2 linked regions of the Alligator mississippiensis genome follow. The protein of the gene in region 1 interacts with the protein of each later gene in a pairwise test. Links are inferred from orthologs where the notes say so. Each region holds a gene or a part of one and is shown on either strand. Other genes may lie near its edges. The genes, in order: WDR4 and RABGGTB.

Region 1 (10,088 bases):
ATGTCTTGCCTACAAGCATTCCCAATTATGTCTTGTTTATCACTCAATTATTGAAAAAGGTCATAGGATCATAGGAAAGTAAGGATGGAAGGGACCTCATGAGGTCATCTAACCATGTTATCCCTCTGCTCAAGGCTAGATAATCCTGTACTAAGACATCCCAGCCAAGTGTCTCTTTAACTTGCTCTTGAAAAATATCCAGACAGAGAGTCCAGAACTTCTCTACGTAGCCTGTTCCAATGCTTGACTCCCCTCATAGTTAAAAAGTTCTTCCTAACCCTCAACCTAAATTTCCTTTGCTGCAGTTTTATGCCATTACTCCTAGCCTTTTCTCTGTGGCTGCAGGGCACAAGACTATCTCCCGTAAAGGTATTCAGAGACTGTTATCAAATCCCCTTTCAGCCTTCTCTTCTCCAGACAATAATCCTAGTTCTCTCACCCTTTCTTCATAAATCATATTTCCCAGGCCTCTAATCATTTATGTTGCTCTCTGCTTTACACATCTGTCCACATCTTTCTTGAAGCGTGGGGCCCAAAACTGAACACAATACTCTAGGTGAGGCCTCACCAATGCCGAATAGAGCAGAAGAATCGCTTCCCTTGATTTGCAAGAGACATTTCTATTAATACAACCCAGCAGGTTGTTGGCTTTTTTTTTTTTTTTTTGCAACGAGGGCAGTGTTACAGCCTCTGGATAGGCAGCAAAAAGTTTAAATGAATTCACTCACCCTTTTTCTTGTGTCCTCTTGTTTGCAGTGACACAGTCATACACAAAGAGATCGCCATCATTACTGGAAAAATAAGGATAAAAAACCCAAATACTACCAGAATTCCCTCACACAGAATACCTTATTCATAATGCACCATTCTTACATACTTTTATGTTCCAATTGTAGTCTGCTCCGATGTTCCCCTACCACCACCACACCTCCAAACACCAACAAAACTGTTCAGGTTATTGATATTTAGCATCTTCCATCCCATATACACACCAAATACAAGTTATCACTTACCAAGCATAAGTTATTAGTTGATGGCAAAACAATGTGATTTTTATTCTGTGAACAGCTGTTTTCATTTTTACTGGTCTCTCAAATGCACCAGTCATTTGCAGTTAATTTATCTTGGCATCTGCTATGTATGTCACTGATTGATCAGGTTGTCTGTGTATGAATGCTGTCAGGCATCAAGACTAGTAAGCTTAAAGTGGAATTTACTGTATACAAACAAGCTGTGTGCCAGTATTTAATGACGTACAAATTTGGTAATCTAGACTGTGCAGGCCGGGAGCGATCTGGGGCCCTTTTTTCAGGCCGCGGGCTGTGGCCAGCAGCCCGGACACGCTGGGTCAGAGAAAGCAGGCGACACGCTAGAATTAGGCACGGACGCTTAGTGGTTGATTCAAGATTGTTTACTTACACCGTAGATGGTCACGGTGTAGGCTGGACAGTTTCCCAGGTAAAACTCCACTTAAATCCCTACGTTAAGGACTTGGACAAAACTCTGACTCACACGAAGTTGTCAAGGCTCTGTGGAACTTTTTGCGTGCAGGGAAGAGGGATACGTTGAGGATTGCGCTCAGCGACGGGGAGAGGCTAGAGGCTGATCAGACCCCCGTTGCCTTCTTGATATTCACGCTGGGTCCAATAGGCTCCGCAGCGCTAAGAGATCTTCACAAGACGTGAAGTCTCCTCCTCCTGATGTTCGTGGAGTCCTCCAACTTGGGCGGAAACCACTCAAGCCTCTTATACGGCTAGCAAGCTCGCTAGCCGCCACGTAGGAATAATTTAGAAACAACCAATAGTGGGGGGTCGAATTTAAATACAAATGGCGGGAACTCCGTGCAACGTGCATTTCTATGCTGCAAAGAAGAAATGCACACTGCAAAGAAAGCTTCAAACAGCGGGAAAATAATTCAGCGGTGCCAAAGCACACACAAACAAAAATCACACCCTTGGGTTGTGACATAGACAAAATGAACAAATGACAAAATCACAGCCCTGTTTCAGTCGCCATTTCCTTAATTATGTCACACTATCTGTGTAACCCTTGGAAAACCTTTCTATTGAAGGATGGGGTGAGATGTACATAAGTAATTACATGATGGCTTTTTCATTGCTGGGTAAACTAACAAGTAAAGCTAATTTCCCAAAGTAACCATACTAGTTTTGGGCTTCTTGAAAGGAACACCATCCACTTTAGGGGAAAGGGAGATATTAACCAAAATTTCCCCTATTACACTAATTAATTGAAACATTAGAGATTTTTTCCTCCCAGTTTTAGCCCCTACTCCTGGGAAAGAATCTATGATCAATTACATCATCCTGAGTAGCCCTATTTAAGTCAATGAAATCAGCAAAACTATATGCGCAAACTTAGGAAAGGACATACAGGTCAGTCGCATCATACACGCATTTAACTTGGGCAAATTCAACTATATGCGGGGTGGGAGGGGGGTGGGGCTTGAGCTTGCACACGGCACTGTCGCTTACCTGGAGGCCCGTTATGGCAGTGATGGCCACTGCCTCCAAAACCTCCTGCTGTCGCCACGGAGCCATGCCCAGAGCTGTGTGGCCAGTTGCCAGGCGGCGGCAGCAACACGGTAGTGGCCGGGCAGCATGCAGCCATCCCCACCACCACCCCGCACTGCGCCGCTGCCGCCAGCCGCACAGCACTAAGCATGGCGCCTCTTGCACGCTCAAGCCCCGCCCTTCTCCCACCCCACGTAGTCACCGATTTTCGCTTTATGCGCTGACTTCAGCACCTAACCCCCGTGTAAGATGCGACTGACCTGTACACTAGTAGATCCCAGAGTGCACAAGGTGATATGAATCAGCGGGGAAACCAGCCATTTTTGGAAGGCATGCCACAAATTAGCCCTGGATTTTCCCTCAGTGCCATCCCCTTTCCCTGCTCAATCTGCCGCTCTGCTTTCTGCTCCCAGCCCTGCACATCCTGCCTGATTTGCTGCTTTGCTTTCTGCTGCACAGCCTGTCCCCTCTCTGATCTACCGCACACCACATCAAGGCTGCCTGTGCCACTTGTGTCACCGGTACCACAGGTTGGCCAGCCTTTATGTAGACAGTTAGTCTGTTACAGGACGATCTCTCATTGGAAACATTTTAAGTTCTCACATGCTGTAAATTTACAAACATCAGCACCAAATCCGGGGCTCCTACTTCATATGAAATTACTTGTTTTAAGTCAGGAGTGTCCAACATGCAGCCTGGAGGCTAGATCCAGCCTGTGGAGCCCTATGATCTGGCCAATGGGTCTCACACTGACCCCACATGCTGCATGCAGCACATGCAGCCAGACTCATGCATGAGCCACATGTGTCACCACAATTCCTGTGCACAGCACTGGGAGTGGGTCCAGGCTGCAGGCTACACGCAGTGCCCCATTTCATGCTCAGCCCTGGCTCTAGCACCCTCTTCAGCCACACACTTAAAAGGAAGGGGAACAGGGGTGCCATGCCTTCAGCACCACCACCTTCCTCTCCCAGTAGGGCAGGAGCTGGGCCCTGAACGACTGTGCACAGAGGGAACGAAATAGGTTGTGGAACTAAGGGCAGGGGGAGGGGGTTCCAGAACCAAGGGCGGGGGAAGGTTCTAGAACCGAGGGCGGGGGTTCTGGAACCAGGTGTGGGGAGAGCAGCAGCTGATGCCCCACAGTTCGCGTAGGGGGAGAGAGGAAGGGAGGGGCCAGCCTTGCACCCAATGCCAGGACCCGCCTGTGCCGCAGCGGCAAGAGCTCCCGCTAGCCTCCCTCCGCTACTCCCACAGCTCCCCCGCACAAGAAGCCTTGCGGCTGCATCCCCCCACTGCTGACCTGGCCCTGAGCTCCTGGTACCGGGCGGCCAGCACCTTGCTCCCTCCACTGACAGCCATCAGGCCCCCGCGCAGCCCCATTCCCGGGCCAGGGCCCCCCACCATCGCCGCTGCTGCCGCCGCTTCCTCCATGCGGACGCCCACCCACGTGCGCCCGGGAAGCAGCTGGAGGCTCCCCCAGCGTCGCGGGATTTAGACATCACCATGGGCGCTGACGCTCGAATGTGACGTAACTAGAGAGCGGCGAAGCGAGGGGGTCGGGGCTTCTGAGTTGCGCTCAGGAGGTTCGGTTAGCCGTAGTTCGGCGTGGGGCTGGAGTTGGGCCCTTGTTCTCACTGCTTTGTCCTAGTTCCTCATTCCCCTTCTCTGGCTCCTTTGTCCAAACCCTGGCTGCTATGTTAAAATCACTTCCCCGGTGTTTGATAGCCAGGGATCCTAGTTTTCTGTGATTAAAAAAATTCCAATTTTCAGATTTAAAAAAGTAACCCAAAATCCACATTCACATTTTTATGTGATTAAAATGCAACTCCACTTATATAGTAGTGTTTTGTTTTAACCACGGAAAAATGTACTATATATATATATATATAGTGGTGTTTCATTTTAATCATGGAAAAACTTGGATTTTTTTTTAAATCTGAAAATTGGGGATTTTTCTTTTTACCAGAGAAAACCAGGGTGCCTGGTGATATTATGCCAGAGTACATGTCTTTTTGCAGCCGCTGGTGATGCTGAATTGCATCTTGGTAAAGTTTATGTATTGGGGAGAGTCTAGTGGAGGGCAAGGAAAATGGTGAGCGGACTGGGCACATGACTTCTGAAGAGAGGCTGAGGGAACTGGGCTTATTTAGTCTGCAGAAGAGAGGACTGAGGGGGGATTTAATAGCCTTCATCTACCTGAAGTGGGGTTTAAAAGAGGATGGCGCTAAACTGTTCTCAGTGGTGGCAGATCACAGGACAAGGAGCAATGGTCTCAAGTTGCAGCAAGGGAGGTTTAAGTTAGATATTAGGAAAAACTGTCTAACAAAGAAGGTAGTAAAATACTGGAACAGGCTACCCAGAAAGGTTGTGCAATCTCCACCCTTGGTGGGTGCTTGGGTTGCCACACCATGTTAGCACCATGTTAGCTCTGCAAACATGATTTGCAAGATAAACGCAAGAGTTTTAAAATAGGAATCCAGAGCGTTAAAACCATTTGGCCCTGTTGGGGTCTTTCTGAGAAGAATTGCTCTAGTATTTTTCTGTAGTCAAAAAAGAAGGGAAAAGTAAGAGCTGTCACTTTCCGTGCCTCAAATCTAGAGAAGTTGAGACTAGCTGGTATACAGTTACAAAGGGTGAACACTTCAAAATAATTAAATCTCTTCTTTCTTTTCCAACTCAATACACACTTACTGTCTCATATGTTTAGTTGCAGCACTGATGCTGGGAACAGTAAACCTTAATTTGTAGATATTGCATATGACGGATGGTCATAATTGTAACCCCATAATATTAAACAGTCATTTTTACTCGCTCTGTATTACTCAATGCTTTAAAGATCTGATTCTTCCTTCACTTGTTTGTAAAATTCTTCAAATGATACAATTTTATTCTAAATCAGGTTTGTAGGGGGAAAAATAATAAATCATAATTATTATATAAATCTGTTTTAAACAGTTATCCGGAGTAGTGTGCAAAACAGCTTGGAAAAAATATAAATTTAAAGTTTTATAAATGTCTATTGAAACTATAGTTTTAAACAGGAAATCTTTGGTTATATTTGGTTATATTGGACAATAAATATAGCACAGATGCTGAAATGATATATGGCAATTGATAATTGACTGAGATTAGATTCAGGCTAGATATCAGGAGGCACCACTTCACTGTTAGGTCGGCTAGGAGCTGGAACCAACTTCCAAGGGAAGTGGTGCTTGCCCCTACCCTGGGGGTCTTCAAAAGGAGGCTAGACAGCCACCTAGCTGGGGTCATTTGACCCCAGCATTCTTTTCTGCCTATGGCAGGGGGTCAGACTAGATGATCTGCTTAGGGCCCTTCTGACCCTACCAACTATGAAACTATGAAAAGGTATAGTCAAGGAAGAAAACTCTTCCTGGATGAAATTTTAACAGAGTGGACAGGGCAGGAATTCATGGGAAGGTGTTCCCCACCTGTCCCCACCCTCACCTAGTGACAAGGGGAAGGTCAAGCAAGAGCAAGGTTCAAATCCCAAGGCAAAAAAAAAAATAAAAATCCGGACTCGGAACATGTATGACTGCGTTCTGTTTAACTGAATCCATGATTGATAATCTATTATGCAAGGTTTAAAGGAGGGGTTGGCAACCTATAGCCCACAAGGGCCCATATCTGGCCCACAGATTGAATCCTTCACATGGTGGACGGGGAGGAGAACAGCAGTAGCAAGGATACTTTCTCCATGCTGTGTCATACGTTTAGCTGTTAGGTGCCACTAGTTCTTTCTACAGCATCCAGCAGATGGCCACCCCAGCCCTCTTTGCTCTGTCATCCTGTTACTACAGTCTGTGCTTACCGGTGCCACCAAATTTACCTATCACCTCTGCCAAAGAAATATGACACTAAGTGGCTAGAGTAAGCAGAAGAAAGAGCAGCCCTCAGCACAGAGCAACTAGGGCTGCAGCAGTAGCTCAGTCATAAACAAGGGACAGCTATGGTTAATTGTTGCTGACCTCTGGTTTAAAGAACAATAAACCAAGAAGGCCAAGTGCCTGCAGAAACCTGCAGCTTGTGCCCATAGCTTGTGACACATCTTCCTTTTTTCAGTCTATGGTACAATATTAGAATTCAGTTGCCATTTAGTGAGATCTCTTTCATTTAAGGTCTGAAAAAATGTACAAAACCATCCATGAGTGCAATGATTTTTTTACAGTTTACTGACTTTTTGAGAGTTTGCTCTGATTAAAATTGGCCCAAAGACATATAAAACAAATTAAGTTCCTGTCACTGTTGCCAAGAAACAATATGCGAAGTAAGTGTTTTTTGTGATCTCTTTTATTGTACTAACTGTAGTTGGGAGAGATGTTGGACATATTTTTTAGGAACCAAGAGCCTTTCCTTAGTTTTAGACTGTGGATTTTCCTTTGTCAGCAGCAGATTTCAGTATCCTTCATCTTGTAGTAGAGTTGAATTGTTGTAGCCATGATGGTCCAGGAAATGTATGAGCCAGGAGTTTTTTGTGATATCTTTTACTGGAACTGAAGAATGGCAGTTTGTTCCTAAAAGTTTGTCCAACATCTCTTCCAATTATACAGTTGGTCTGATAAATTGCACCACAGAACCCCTTCGTTTCTCACATAGTTCCTGGGCCATCCAACCCTACACTCCAATCCTACTAGAAGTAGTATGCCATTCTTTAATTTAAAAAATGTAAAGCCCTTGACTGAAGCTTCCTCCCTATGTTTCTTTGTTGTCTGATAAGTCATTAAAAGGCATCAAGCTTACAAAAGAACGGTTTTGTATCCAATGAGAATGTTGCACAAAAAAGAGAGAAAGTGGCAAAGCAGAATAGCGTACTATGTTGCTAAACAGTAAATTCACCTATCTATTTCCTGATAGATATTTCCTACATATTTCCTCGGTAACTTACATATTTCTTGGGTAAGGTCAAAGTCCTTAAAGTCATTTTTTTGTAAATTGTCATTCATTTGAATTCTCTCTCTTGAGCGCTAAAGTGTATTTATTATATGCATAAACATGACAATAAAAACTGAAAACTGGGGTTACCCCTTTTTGCAGTCCCTGGTAAAAAGTTGGTCATTTTTATTAGGGAGAGGAGATCAGAAGCCTGGAATTAATTTTTTAAGCAGCTTTTTCACTGAAAGTTTTTTTTTCTGCAGAGCTCTGAAAAGAAAAAGATTTCCACCTGCAAAAACTGAATATAATTTTGACATCTTTATGGCAACATGAAAAGGATGTGGACACACATTTTAAAATGTTGTGTGATGTTCTTTTTGGACATAACCAGTTTAATACTAGCAGCTCACATAGCTATATTATTTTTTATATCATTATCATTTTTGGCTAGCAGCCAGAGCAGCTGATCCTGTTCTTTAGTTTTAACTAAGTTACACCCTATGCTTAGTATGACAGTTTTATTGTGTTCCAGCATTACATTTTGAACATTCTGTTCTCAAAATTTGAGGAGACTGTGGAGTAATTTGAAATATATTGCAAAATGATGTATGAGTGTAATTGCTATAATAGATAAAAGATAAAGGAGCAGTGCTAATTTTAAGAACATAATCCATTAAAATGTTTACTCTCTATTAAACGTAAATCTTAAAATGACTGTAAATTAAAGTTTAGAGGGAGGATAACAGAACTTTCATGTTGTATATTTGATAAGATATGATGTATACTCACTTTCACTGTTTTGTTAATGATATGCCCTTCCCAGTACCCCTCTCAGGATACCCAAAACGTACAGTGTCTTTGCACCAAGAGAAGAGGCAACGGTTAGAATAATGGGACTAGAGGACATCTAGTATTATAGCTCTTAGGCCCACCCAAATTATCCTTCTAATAAGCATGAAAAAGGAGTAATCAACTCTCTATAATTTATTTTATAAAGATTGGATTATGTATTTTTAATAGACTGTTACTTTCTGAATCAGTTAGAGTCTAAGATGCCATGCTTTCCTATCTCCTACATATATAAACATTGCACTTCTTAAAATTAATCAAATATTCAAATTGCCAGTTCCTTTAAAGGTCAATCAAGTCTTCCAAGCACTTTAGTTTCATGCAGATAAGTAATTTGATTGAAGTTAATGGTACTACATATGTGTACAGAGTTGGTCACATGTACAGGTGTTTGTCGAATCAGGGCTTGAGAACCATATTTTTTCAAGTCTATTCTAGTATGGGGTTGCATAATAATGTTCACAGGGCAAAGCTTTATTAAAGGTATTTTATTTTAAAGTGCACAATGAATTTGACAGTTATGTGTTCTATCAGTAAAAGTGTTTAAGAGCTGGCTAGTTAAAAACTTGCCTGGGATGAGTTAGACAAGGATGAACCTGCCATGATCAGGGGGTTGGGTTAGATGTGGCCTGAAGTCCCGTCTCACCCTATTTTTCTGATTATGAAATATACTATAATTCGAAGGTCTTCGAGCTGAATTTACTATGCTCCGATTCCTAGGCTTCTGTGACATAAATTTTTAAAGTATATTTAGAAAGTCACTGCAACAAGCAGCCTACTTAACTCTTTATGGATAAATTAAAAAGTGGGGCTAGTGGTATGAAGGCAGGATGCGAAGTCAGGAATCCTGAGAACTACTCCTAGCTCAGAAAGACATTGTTTATATGTCCTGGGATAACCTATTTAGGCAGCAATTCCAGTCTTCAAGATCAGGGGTCTGCTAGTGTTGAGTGCTTTGAGAAACTAATTAAGGTCTTGTAAGGCCTCAGTAGTGCAATTTTCCCATTTGCAACCTGTGGGCTAATGGGTTTTATTTGCTCATCCTGCACTGCCATGACTCATTGGTTTCAACTGTGCTGTGAAAATATAGTTCTGTGGGTGTTGCTGTTCTACTAGGCTTCAGGAAGCCCTGGGGGACCATTCTTCATGTTTCTGCCTACAAACTGATCCCTCCCAGCCCTTTTTTAACCCAACTGCTTTTCAGTTATGCCAGAGGCAAGGATCTCTTGGGGCCCTGCTCCACATTCAAAGAGAGCTGGGCAGAAACCAGATTAGGAATTGTTACACATTTCCGAGCACTAACTTTAGAGCTGGTTGGCTCATTTTATAACTGGAGACACAATTTGTTACCGTGTGGGAAGCACTTTGCATGTGGGGCACTTACTGCACGATGCACCAGTTAATTGCGTGATAAGTACTTTGAACCTGTGGCAGGTCTGCACTCACTGTACCATGCACCAGTTAGTCGTATGATAGGTTACTTTGCCCTTGGGGCCAGCCTGACTTTGCAGGCATGGCCTAAATTTATTGTGCGACTCCCCAAGGAACTGTGTAATATATGGAAGGTGTAGCAGGGGCCTTAGGGTGATGCTTTTTGCCACAGCCGCTCTCCAAGGCAAGCTGTGGCACCCCGCCTCACAACCACATTCACTCCTCAGCGTCAAGAGTACGACCTGGTTCCAGGGCGGGGGAGGAGCCCTTCTGCGCATGCGCCGAGGCCCGTAGGAGCGGGCGGAACCCTTGCGGCCGGGGCGTTGTTTCCGCCCCAAGGGGGGCTGGTGTTGCTGCCGCACGAAAACATGGAGGCCTCCTTTCTGC
Region 2 (9,584 bases), on another chromosome or scaffold:
AGATACTGAGCTCATTGCATTTTAAATTATGTTTAAATAAGGCTAAACTTCCAGCTAACAATAAATAGACTATATGATCTTTGTGAATCATTTGGTAATTATAATGTAGTTCCTACATATTCACTGAAGGTATCGCAAACCACTTTTGCAGTTGACTATCACAGTCAAAGCCAGAGGTTGAATAATTAACATTGCTCTTAGAGGAAGTAACTCACCACTTCAGAGTCAGAAAGATGTCTTCTATCTGTTTTGGGAACCTAGCTAAATTCAGGATTTAAATGAATGCTGGGCAGTATTCAAAAAGTGTTCCCACATCTTCCTTTCCTGAAATACTAGTTCAGTGTTTGCTTTTAAGTTGCTAGCTCTGACGGAATCATTTTTGTAGGGGGAGAGCGTTGTCTAAGCTTCTTTTTTAAGTAGTTAATTTCAAATACCAGGTGTATACTTTACTTGGTAGTAGTAGCAAACCTTTATCTCTTCTGTCAGTCTGAAATGTAACGGCTTGCTGAAGGGAAATGTGTAAAGCAAGCTTGTATGACAGCAAGACGATGACCACTGCCGAACTTACCAAGAAGCCTGTATCCATGCTTGAGAAAGAAACATGTACATTTGAAACACCTTTATTTTCATATGATGGTTCTGTGGAAGAAAGTGATCAAAACAAAACAAAACAGGAATTAGATAGGTTTTTTGTTTTGTGATATTGACTTCTGAAATATTAATTATACCATTTCACTTTTTACCTTGTACAATTGAGTCTTAGTTGTTTGGGCCACACTTAAGCAAAACTCTGACATATCTTATACATATCTCTTACTCCTGTTGATCCAAAATGAAGTGAAACATTTTACTTGGCTACCTAAAAAGAATAAGGGTTATTGCTTTCCTCTCTAAAGGAAAAAAAAAATCTCTGCTTTTGGAGTTTAGTGTATATGGCTTCAGCTTTTTGCCAGCAGTCATGTATCTAATTTGCAATATAATTCAAGATAATAAGAGTACTGGAAAGCCCCAAAATATTCTACAAAGTGAAGGTCACTTATCTATTTTGAACTCTCACTTTTTGCAGTTATATTGTAAAAAGATGTGCTACGCTGCCAATATACCACCTTGGCAAGGGGCTAGGAATGAGCCTTTTGTTAGCTCCGTAGTAGCTAGGGAGGAGGATATTCTCAGGGGACTATTCCTGCCAATTTGTAGGCTAGATTATACTAATGGCATACATCTCTACATTGTGGTGGTCAAGCTATTCCAAAACATTTTTTTCTGCTTTTCTATGCACTTGGCACCGATTCAAAGTGTTCTTAAGTTGTCACAGCTACAAAAATCAAAATTATCCAAAGGAAGAAACAGAATAAGGAAAAACACAGAGAACTACTACTATATTATTGCCAGTACCCCTATGTATGGTTTTATTAAAGAGAAGCTGGACAAGTTGCAAATTACCTACACAGATTGTGGAACACCCTCCTTGGGTGTTTTTAAGAGCAGTTTAGACTGGGCATGACAAACTCATCTGTACCCTCCCCCCAACCAGCCTTAACAGAAGCACTGTGTTCAGTTTTGAGCACCCCAGAGCTGAACTACATGGAGAATCCAGAAGAGAGCAAATAAAAATTACAGTAAAATCTTTGTTATCTGGCATTTAAGTAACCGGGAATTCTATTAACTGGAATTACTGGCCGGACATGAGTGGGCACAGGGGAAAGCTTGCACCTAGCAGTGCCTCTTGGGTCTGGGGGGGCACCCAGGGTCCCCCCACGGCTGATTGCTGAGCCGGGGGGGGACCTGGCAGACCTGGAAGTGGACTGGCAAGTACTTCTGGTCCACTTCCGGGTCTGCCGCTGAGCACACAGGGCCCCCTGCTGTGCTCCTGTGGGACACTCCATCCACCCCACCATCTTAGCTTTCGTGAGCCGTGCCTGGTACCTCAAACTATGTAGAAAAAACATTTAAAGCTGTGTCTATGGCCAAATTGCTGATTCTCCGAATTGGCATTGAATCTTCAGATTCAGATTCGACTGAATTAAATCGGGACAATGATCCAAATCAACAGATCGAATCACTGTCCCCCAATTTTCTTTCCTACCCTAAAGCAGGAGGCACCTGGAGCTGACATTTCTTTACTGTTGCTGCCAGGTCCAGTAAGGGAGTTGAAGCTGACTGGGTAGGAAGCTATCTCAGAGTAACCTTGCTCTGTTCCTTGGGGCAAGTGGCAGCACTGGAGACAAACTCGGGGCTCTCCTGATGAAGAATACTTGGATTTGAAAGCTTGTCTAACTATTCCAACCATGCAGATGGTCCAGTAAAAGATACCCCCAAAAATCTTTGCCTCTCACATAATTCCTGGACCACGGGCAAATCGTGCTGCCTTAGTCAGGGGTGAAGGGACCCGTGGGGGGAGGGGTTCCCCTGTGGCAGATCTCACTGCCCAGGGGGAGTTTCCCCATTGCAGCTCTCAGAAGCCACATCAGTTCTACGTACTCCCTATAACTCTTTTAAGTACCCCTAGGGGTATGTGTACCCTCGGTTGACAACCACTGCTTTAGAAGATTCATCAATCCAATTCACTTGGTTAACCATAACATGCCTGAAATTCAGTTAAACTTTTAACTTGTTGAGTCACACAGGCAATGGAAAAGGAAACAGAATGATTTCCACCAAAATGCTTTGAGATTGCTTCTTCTTCCCACTTCACAAAGCTGTGCATTCTTTTAGAGCTTGCTCTGTTGGGAAATCTGTGAGATTATTTAGTGCTTACTTGCCTTACAGTGACTTACATAATCTTGTTTCTTGTACATTCAGCATTTGCAGTCTGTCATTTCTTCCATCAGTCCAAACATAGAAATAGGTGTGGCAGAAACTGCTGAACGGGGCAATTTCCTTTGAGATGTTTAGTTCAGTGACAGATGTTTCTTGATCACATTCTCAGATGCCTATTTACTTAATTTCTTGGACAGATTCTTTTGAGGGTGATTCATTATTATGGCAAATCACCAACTGAAATGTAATATCCAAAGTCAAAAGTACTGATGGGTCTGTTTAATTTTTTTTGCCTTTTGTGCTTGATGTAATTCAAAGAGGAGAATCTATTCAATCTATAGTGCAGGTAACTGACTTCCTTGTGTGTTTTAATCTTGTTATTACAAATGATCTAGCTGGAGAAAGTCCATCATGCAAAGTTATTGAAGTGATGCAGATAGGGAAACACAACATTCATAATTCACATTTAGCAGACTTTCCTTTCTTGGCACAGCTCTACATGCTACTTTACATTTTATATAAAATTTTTCATCCTGACTGGTCCCTGAGTACTTTGCAAACTTATAATCACATATCTTTTTATCCTGTTTTGAGAGTGTGCCCACTTTTGGTGTATAACACACAGACAGCTTAATAGTACAGTTGCAATAATCAGCATTTTATTCTAGCAAAGGAAGAATGCCATTTCCTTCTGAGACTTCAAGAAAAATATTGCAAAAAAATATTGAAAAATCTTCTTTGCATCTTTTCTGGTCTAGAGTTCTGTGTTCTAATACAGACTTGCCAAACTGTGTACAGGCAGTCCTCGACTTAGAACTTTTCGAGTTACGTTTCGCACTTACAACATTTATAACTTGACACCCTGTTTCAACTTTATGATGTCAGTTTTGACTTTATAATGCTTGATCCGATGCGACACTACGCCAGCGAACAAGTTTGCTGCGTTGCTCATCTCCCTGGAAAACATCTGTCCAAACTTCCTTGGACACTTTAAGAAAACAGACAAGACTCCAAAAAAACCTGCAGCCAAGACTTCTGAGAAGACTTCAGCCAAGAACCCTTCAAAAAGTCCAACCAAGAGCCCTTCAAAAAGTCCAGCAAAGTCGCTTCAAAGAAGTCCTTGCAAATCAATGATTGCTATTTACAGTATAAATACATTAATGTAGCTATATTACTCATATAATTGATCGAGTACAAGATTCTGGGGTATTTTTGGTGAAAATAGGGTATCGGGCCTTGGTTCAGGAACCAATCCCACATTTATAACATTGTTTCTTATGAGAAAATTGGTTCTGAGTTGCAATGTTTTGACTTAAGACGTGGTTTTCAGGAACCAACTGCGTCCTAAGTCCAAGGACTGCGTTTTGACTTAGGACACAATTGGTTCCTGAAAACCGCATCTTAAGTCCAAGGACTGCCTGTAGTTTACTGTGTTGAGAGATTGCCCAACAGAGTGCACCAACACTGAGAAAACTAGAGCAGCAAATCTGCAGATTCTCATTTCTTTGCACATAACTGTTCAGCTCTTATTTGATTCACTTCCTCAGCTAGAAATTCTATAGAGCAGGGGTTGGCAATGTTTTTGGCCAGCGTCAAAAATTCCCCAACTTTTACCCATGCCTCAATTTGGTGTGCTGGAGGCAGACAGCAGGGGAGCTGCAAGGGGCTTTCTTTGCCATTTCTTTGCAAGCTTTCGGATACCTGCGCCCTTCTTCAGGCTGAGGAGAATTCAAAGATTGTAAAAGTTTTAGGTAGAAAAGAAATGTCATGTCTCCATGGTGCAGGGGTTTAGGTTGTAGCCGTGTTGGTCTAAGGATATAGGCAGAGGAACCCAAGGAACCTTGTCTGCCCATGTCTCCATGGTGGAATAGAAGCCAATATGGAAAATGTAGGTCTGTGGAAATGCAAATACATGACAGTGAGGATCTGAGGGAATGGGAGACAATAAATAGGTGGGGGGAAAGGAGGGGAATATTGTTGGTAAAATGTCGTAGAGGTTACCTAGGGTTATCGGACGGCAGGCGGATTATAATGCACCATAAGTCCAATGTCTATACTTGGTTCATAATTTTTTGTATCCGGTAGATTGAAGTGAAGTTTCTAGGCTCATGTGCAAAAAGTGTTTTGTAAATTCTGGAGTACTTTTAAAGTGAATTAAAGCACGCTAAACTCAGGTGGGATTATGACATATCATCAGGGTGATAGCAGCAGCCTGAACAGATGACAAGAGATGCCAAGGAAATACCAGCCTTTAAAAGAGCAAAGGCCCCGAGAGCACGGCCCCAGTGGGGCGGCAGCACAGGACCCTGAGCCATTCCTACAGCTGAGGAGGCAGGGTGTTGCCTGCGGGTCCCCTTGGCAGTTAGCCCCGGAGGGCCCTGCCACAGGTTCAAATGGAAGCAGGAAACCAGCCATAAGGCTGCACTTTTTTAAGCACTAACTTTGTCGCCGGTTTTCTTTTTTTATAACTGGACGGCCGTGTTGATCCCGCGACAATACCTCGCACTGTGCGGCCCGTCCAAACGTATTGCCTGATTAACCAAGTCATCGTATAACGGCTGTAACCGGGACTGAAGGGCCCGCTGCTCTCCCGGCTGCAGAACTGGCGCATCACGGCTGTGACGCGGCGCGGGCGGCCTCCTCCCACCGCGCAGGCGCAAAACAATAGGGCGCGAGCGCCCATGGGGCGGGGGGCAGAGTCATCTGGGCGCTGCTGTTTTGCGCAAGGCAGCTGGGGTCCTCGTGCGGCGCTCGGGGCAGGCAGCGCGCCAGCCACCTCTGCTCAGCAGCCGGACTCCGCCCCACCCGGCAGAACCCTGGCGCTGGTGCCGCTGTGCAGGCAGCGCCGCAGACACCTCTGGCGGGTCCTGCGCGGGGGCGGGCGGGGGCGCCGCCTCCTCCCCTGGGCCCACGGGCGCCGCCGACATGGTGGGTTGCTCTCGCCGCCCGCAGCGGGCGCGGCCTCGTCCCCTGGGCCGGGCTTGGCTCGCCGGGGCCGGGGCCTCCGCTTCCCGGGGCGAGGGGGCGCTTCCACGAGGGATCTGCCCCGGTGGCGGCGGGGAGCAGTAGTGCGGGCAGGCGTGGGGGGCGCGGTGGCCCTCGGGGAGCGCCTGGGGATTCATTTATGGCACGTCTGCCGGAGGGGTTCCCCCTCCCGCCTTGGGCCGAGTCCTTGTTCCTGTAACTGGAAGAGGCGGTGACGGGAGACGTGACCGCTTGGGCGGGGGAGGGGGGGTGTCTGGGGAGGGGGGCGGGGGAAGGAAGGGGACAAAACGAGAGGAGGTGCGGCCGTTGTGGCTGCTTCTGTTCTGTCTTGTTGAAAGCCACTATCAAAAACGTTAGGGCGGGGGTCAGCTACCCCCACCACGTGCCAGAGCAGGGGACGGAGGCCATTTTGGTCCGCACATCACAGCCACCTGGCGCTGGGCGGTGGCTGCCGGCCGCAGAGCAGAGCAGGGGCTGCTTGCAGCAGGTGGTTGGGAGGCTGCAAGGGTGGCTGGCAGCAGGTGCAGCTCTGGGTGGGTGGCAGGGGAGAGGCCAGGCTTGCATTGCTGCAGCCCCTTCTCCATCTTGTGCCCAGAGGCCCACATGCAGCCAGTGCTCCAGAGCCCAGGGCAGATGTTTGCAGTCTGCCACAACTGCCTAGAGCCCAGGCCGGCTGGGGCAGGCAGCCAGCCGTTCGCAGCGGGATCCAGGGGTCCAGCACCAGCTCCCTGCCAGGCGGTGGCTACACGTGCATCTCGTGCGCAGGGCAGGGCAGGGCAGTGCAACCCTGCCCTTCCCACACAGTCTACCCAAAGGCATGTGCAGCCACCGCCAGCAACAAGGATTGGGCCCTTCATGGCTCCCCTGTGATCTGCCCCTGGCATCCCAACCCTGGCCTATGCCTTGACTTGGTGTATTTTTAGCACTCTGGTCAAAAACATTGCTAACCCTTGTGTTAGATGGTAAAGACCTTACCCGCTTACCCGGTAACAATTCAGAATTTGATTTTTATTTTGCTTTTTTGTTTTTTAGGGGACACCACAAAAAGATGTTATAATAAAACCTGATGCCCTAAGCACACTGCTTCTGGAGAAACATGCAGACTATATAGCTTCCTATGGAACAAAAAAAGATGACTATGTATGTAGCAACTGTTATTTTTCCCATTCTCTTAGAAATGCTGCATGTTGCCCTTTCTTGAACGGACAGGGTGGGAGGCTTCTTGTGTTATGGTGCAAAAGAGAGAAGGATTTAGTTTTGCATAGTGGTAATGGTAGTTTTCCTAGGTCAGTGATGAGCCTTGGCATGTATTATCTGACTAAAGTTGAAGATTACTGCTTTAGCTCTAGAATTACTCTGAGACCTGGGAAATGTACTAATTTGCTTACTAGGCTAAATAGGTGAGTGGTGAAAAAAAACTTGATCTTAAATGTGTTTTATTCTATCTACTGTAGCAAATCTCTGTCCAAAACTTGCTGGCTTGCTAGATTTAATCTGAATTCGCTAGAAGATTTCAGTTCTAGTTTAAAATTGGTATTTCTGATCATAGCTGAAATTTATCTTATGCCAGATGCATACAGCAAAATAAGTAATATATAAACAACTATAAAACAAATGCCATATGAAAATCATGGGTACAGGTGACTTGAGAAGGATTATAATAATGGCTTCAGATAAATGCAAGATTTTTCTTTTACTGTTCCTACTTTGTGTTTCTTTAGTTTTGGCAGTTAGCAGCAATATCATTCATTGACTGCTGAGGGAGCATTTGTGGAGGTAATGTAAGCAAAGGACCTTTAGCCAAGAAAATTTTAGCTAGTGGTCTGGGCCAAGCTTGTTGCATAAGGATGGGTAGGTAACTTAACCTTGTGCCTTAGCCATTTGAGATGGAAAGTTTAGGGAAAGTTAGCTGTTGAATTCATGGCTATATTTAGTAGGAGTGTACCAATAGAGATTTTGGGGGCCAATACCAATAACCAATATTTATGAAGGTGTATTGGCTGATTCCAATCAGATTTCCAATACAGATGCCTCCAGCTGGTAAGCCTGGTGTGATGGAAGGGATATGGGGCAGGGAGCAGATCAATGCCCCTGGCTCTTGGGGGAAGGAGGGACGGCTCCCACCACTGCTTGCACCCTGGGAGGGCACAGGGACGTGTGCCCTGTAGATCTGTGTGGGGTGGGCTGCAGCCAGGGCTGTGCGGGGCTCTTCTCAGTGGGGGGCTGGGCTCAGAGTGAACGCTGGTGGCACTGGGAGGATGCTGCACGCACTCCATATTTCACTGCTGCTCTGTTCCCAGTGCTGCCAGCCACCCAGCACAGCCCTTGCTCAATGCCTTGCCTCCACCCACACGCCAGGAAGAGCTGAGGCAGTGCTGGGAGCGGAGCGTCAGCAGAATTTGAGGTGGATGCAGCATCCTCCCAGTGCTGCCAGCACCTCCTCCGAGCCCAGCCCCTGCCGAGAAGAGCTCCTCACAGCCCTGGCTGCAGCCTGCCCTGTGCAGATCCAGGGGTTCATGCCCCCCCACCCTGCCATCATGGCGTGCAAGCAGTGGTAGGAGCTGCCTTCTTCCCCCCCCATCAAGCTGCAGCCCTGGCTCATCTGGGCAGCACCTGCCCCTCCCTCACCACGGGGGGGGGGGGGGGGCGTGCCCACGCGCACGTGCGTGTCCAGCATCCCTTCCCTTCTCACCTTCCACTACACTGGACTTAACAGCTGGAGATAGCTCTCCACGTTACTAGCTTTGCTTCTTGCTTCCTGAGTGCTGTACTGTGGCTGTGTGCAGCACAGGCATTTATGGGGCCAATATCCATACAGCCATTTTTCTTTATATCAGTACCGATCCGATATCGGACCAATGTATTGGTGCACCTCTAATATTGAGTCAATCTTATGTATATAAGCTGTTTAGACTAAAAGGCAGTTTGCCTTGTTGATGGGATGGGGCATCTGCTTTTGTTAAGGTCTAGATATAGTGTTAGCTTGAACCTGCAGCCTCACAGAATTAAAGCATACTAAACACTTTATATTTGTAGCTGCAGTAACAAACATTACCTCAGTTTGTGGTTGTGTGTGTCTTTTGTCTATTTTAAGAACTAAAATGTTGTACTACTTAGGAGTACTGTATGTCGGAGTACTTGAGGATGAGTGGTGTCTACTGGGGACTGACAGTAATGGATCTCATGGGACACCTGCACCGAATGAGCAAAGAAGAAATTCTAGCTTTCATCAAATCATGCCAACATGAGTGTGGTGGAATAAGTGCCAGCATAGGTCATGATCCTCACCTTTTATATACCCTTAGTGCTGTCCAGGTAAATAAATATATAGAAATAAAAGCATTATTGGTGATAGTTAAATTAATCTGACTGTACAGGTACCAGCAAGGTGTATTATTTCTTTAGCACCTTGAAATGCTCTATTTCAGTACCTCTTGTTCACTAGAAAAAAAGTGTTTCTAATTTTTAATTATGGTAGTATTAGGGTGATACTGTGTCCTGATGAAGAATGCCTTGCTTTTCTTTGCGGGTTGGGGCCTCATGTGGTAATAATTTTTGTTCATATCATGCAGCAGTTTCAAGAAAATTTCAAATGACTGTCTGAATTGTCTGGATATCTTTTTGGGTGGGGAAATAAGCTGCTATTTATATAAGACAGAAATAGTTATAGTTTACGTCTTTTCCTTTATATGTCATGTCTGAATTGTAAGTTTTAATGAAAAGTTGCTATTTCAAAGTTTTAGTAGCCTAATAGGTACACATTTGAGGAGTAAAATAGTAATGTAATCTTTAAATTAACCTATTACAAATTTTTATCTTTTTGGTGTGAGGGCTCCACT

The links.
Region 2: the proteins of WDR4 (region 1) and RABGGTB interact in binary tests that used the Homo sapiens proteins (3 or more experiments, as listed by UniProt). The two-hybrid records come from large-scale screens. The link is inferred for Alligator mississippiensis from reciprocal best matches to the Homo sapiens genes WDR4 and RABGGTB.

The regions. Positions count from the first base shown.
Region 1 is NC_081824.1:299,763,923-299,774,010, forward strand, and holds the start of WDR4 (tRNA (guanine-N(7)-)-methyltransferase non-catalytic subunit WDR4), read right to left. Parts: upstream 3,963-10,088; coding exon 3,832-3,962; intron 792-3,831; coding exon 729-791; intron 1-728. UniProt on the Homo sapiens protein: Non-catalytic component of the METTL1-WDR4 methyltransferase complex required for the formation of N(7)-methylguanine in a subset of RNA species, such as tRNAs, mRNAs and microRNAs (miRNAs).
Region 2 is NC_081828.1:22,510,423-22,520,006, forward strand, and holds the start of RABGGTB (geranylgeranyl transferase type-2 subunit beta), read left to right. Parts: upstream 1-5,607; 5' UTR 5,608-5,685; coding exon 5,686-5,688; intron 5,689-6,777; coding exon 6,778-6,885; intron 6,886-6,901; exon of another isoform or gene 6,902-7,145; intron 7,146-8,862; coding exon 8,863-9,060; intron 9,061-9,584. UniProt on the Homo sapiens protein: Catalyzes the transfer of a geranylgeranyl moiety from geranylgeranyl diphosphate to both cysteines of Rab proteins with the C-terminal sequence -XXCC, -XCXC and -CCXX, such as RAB1A, RAB3A, RAB5A and RAB7A.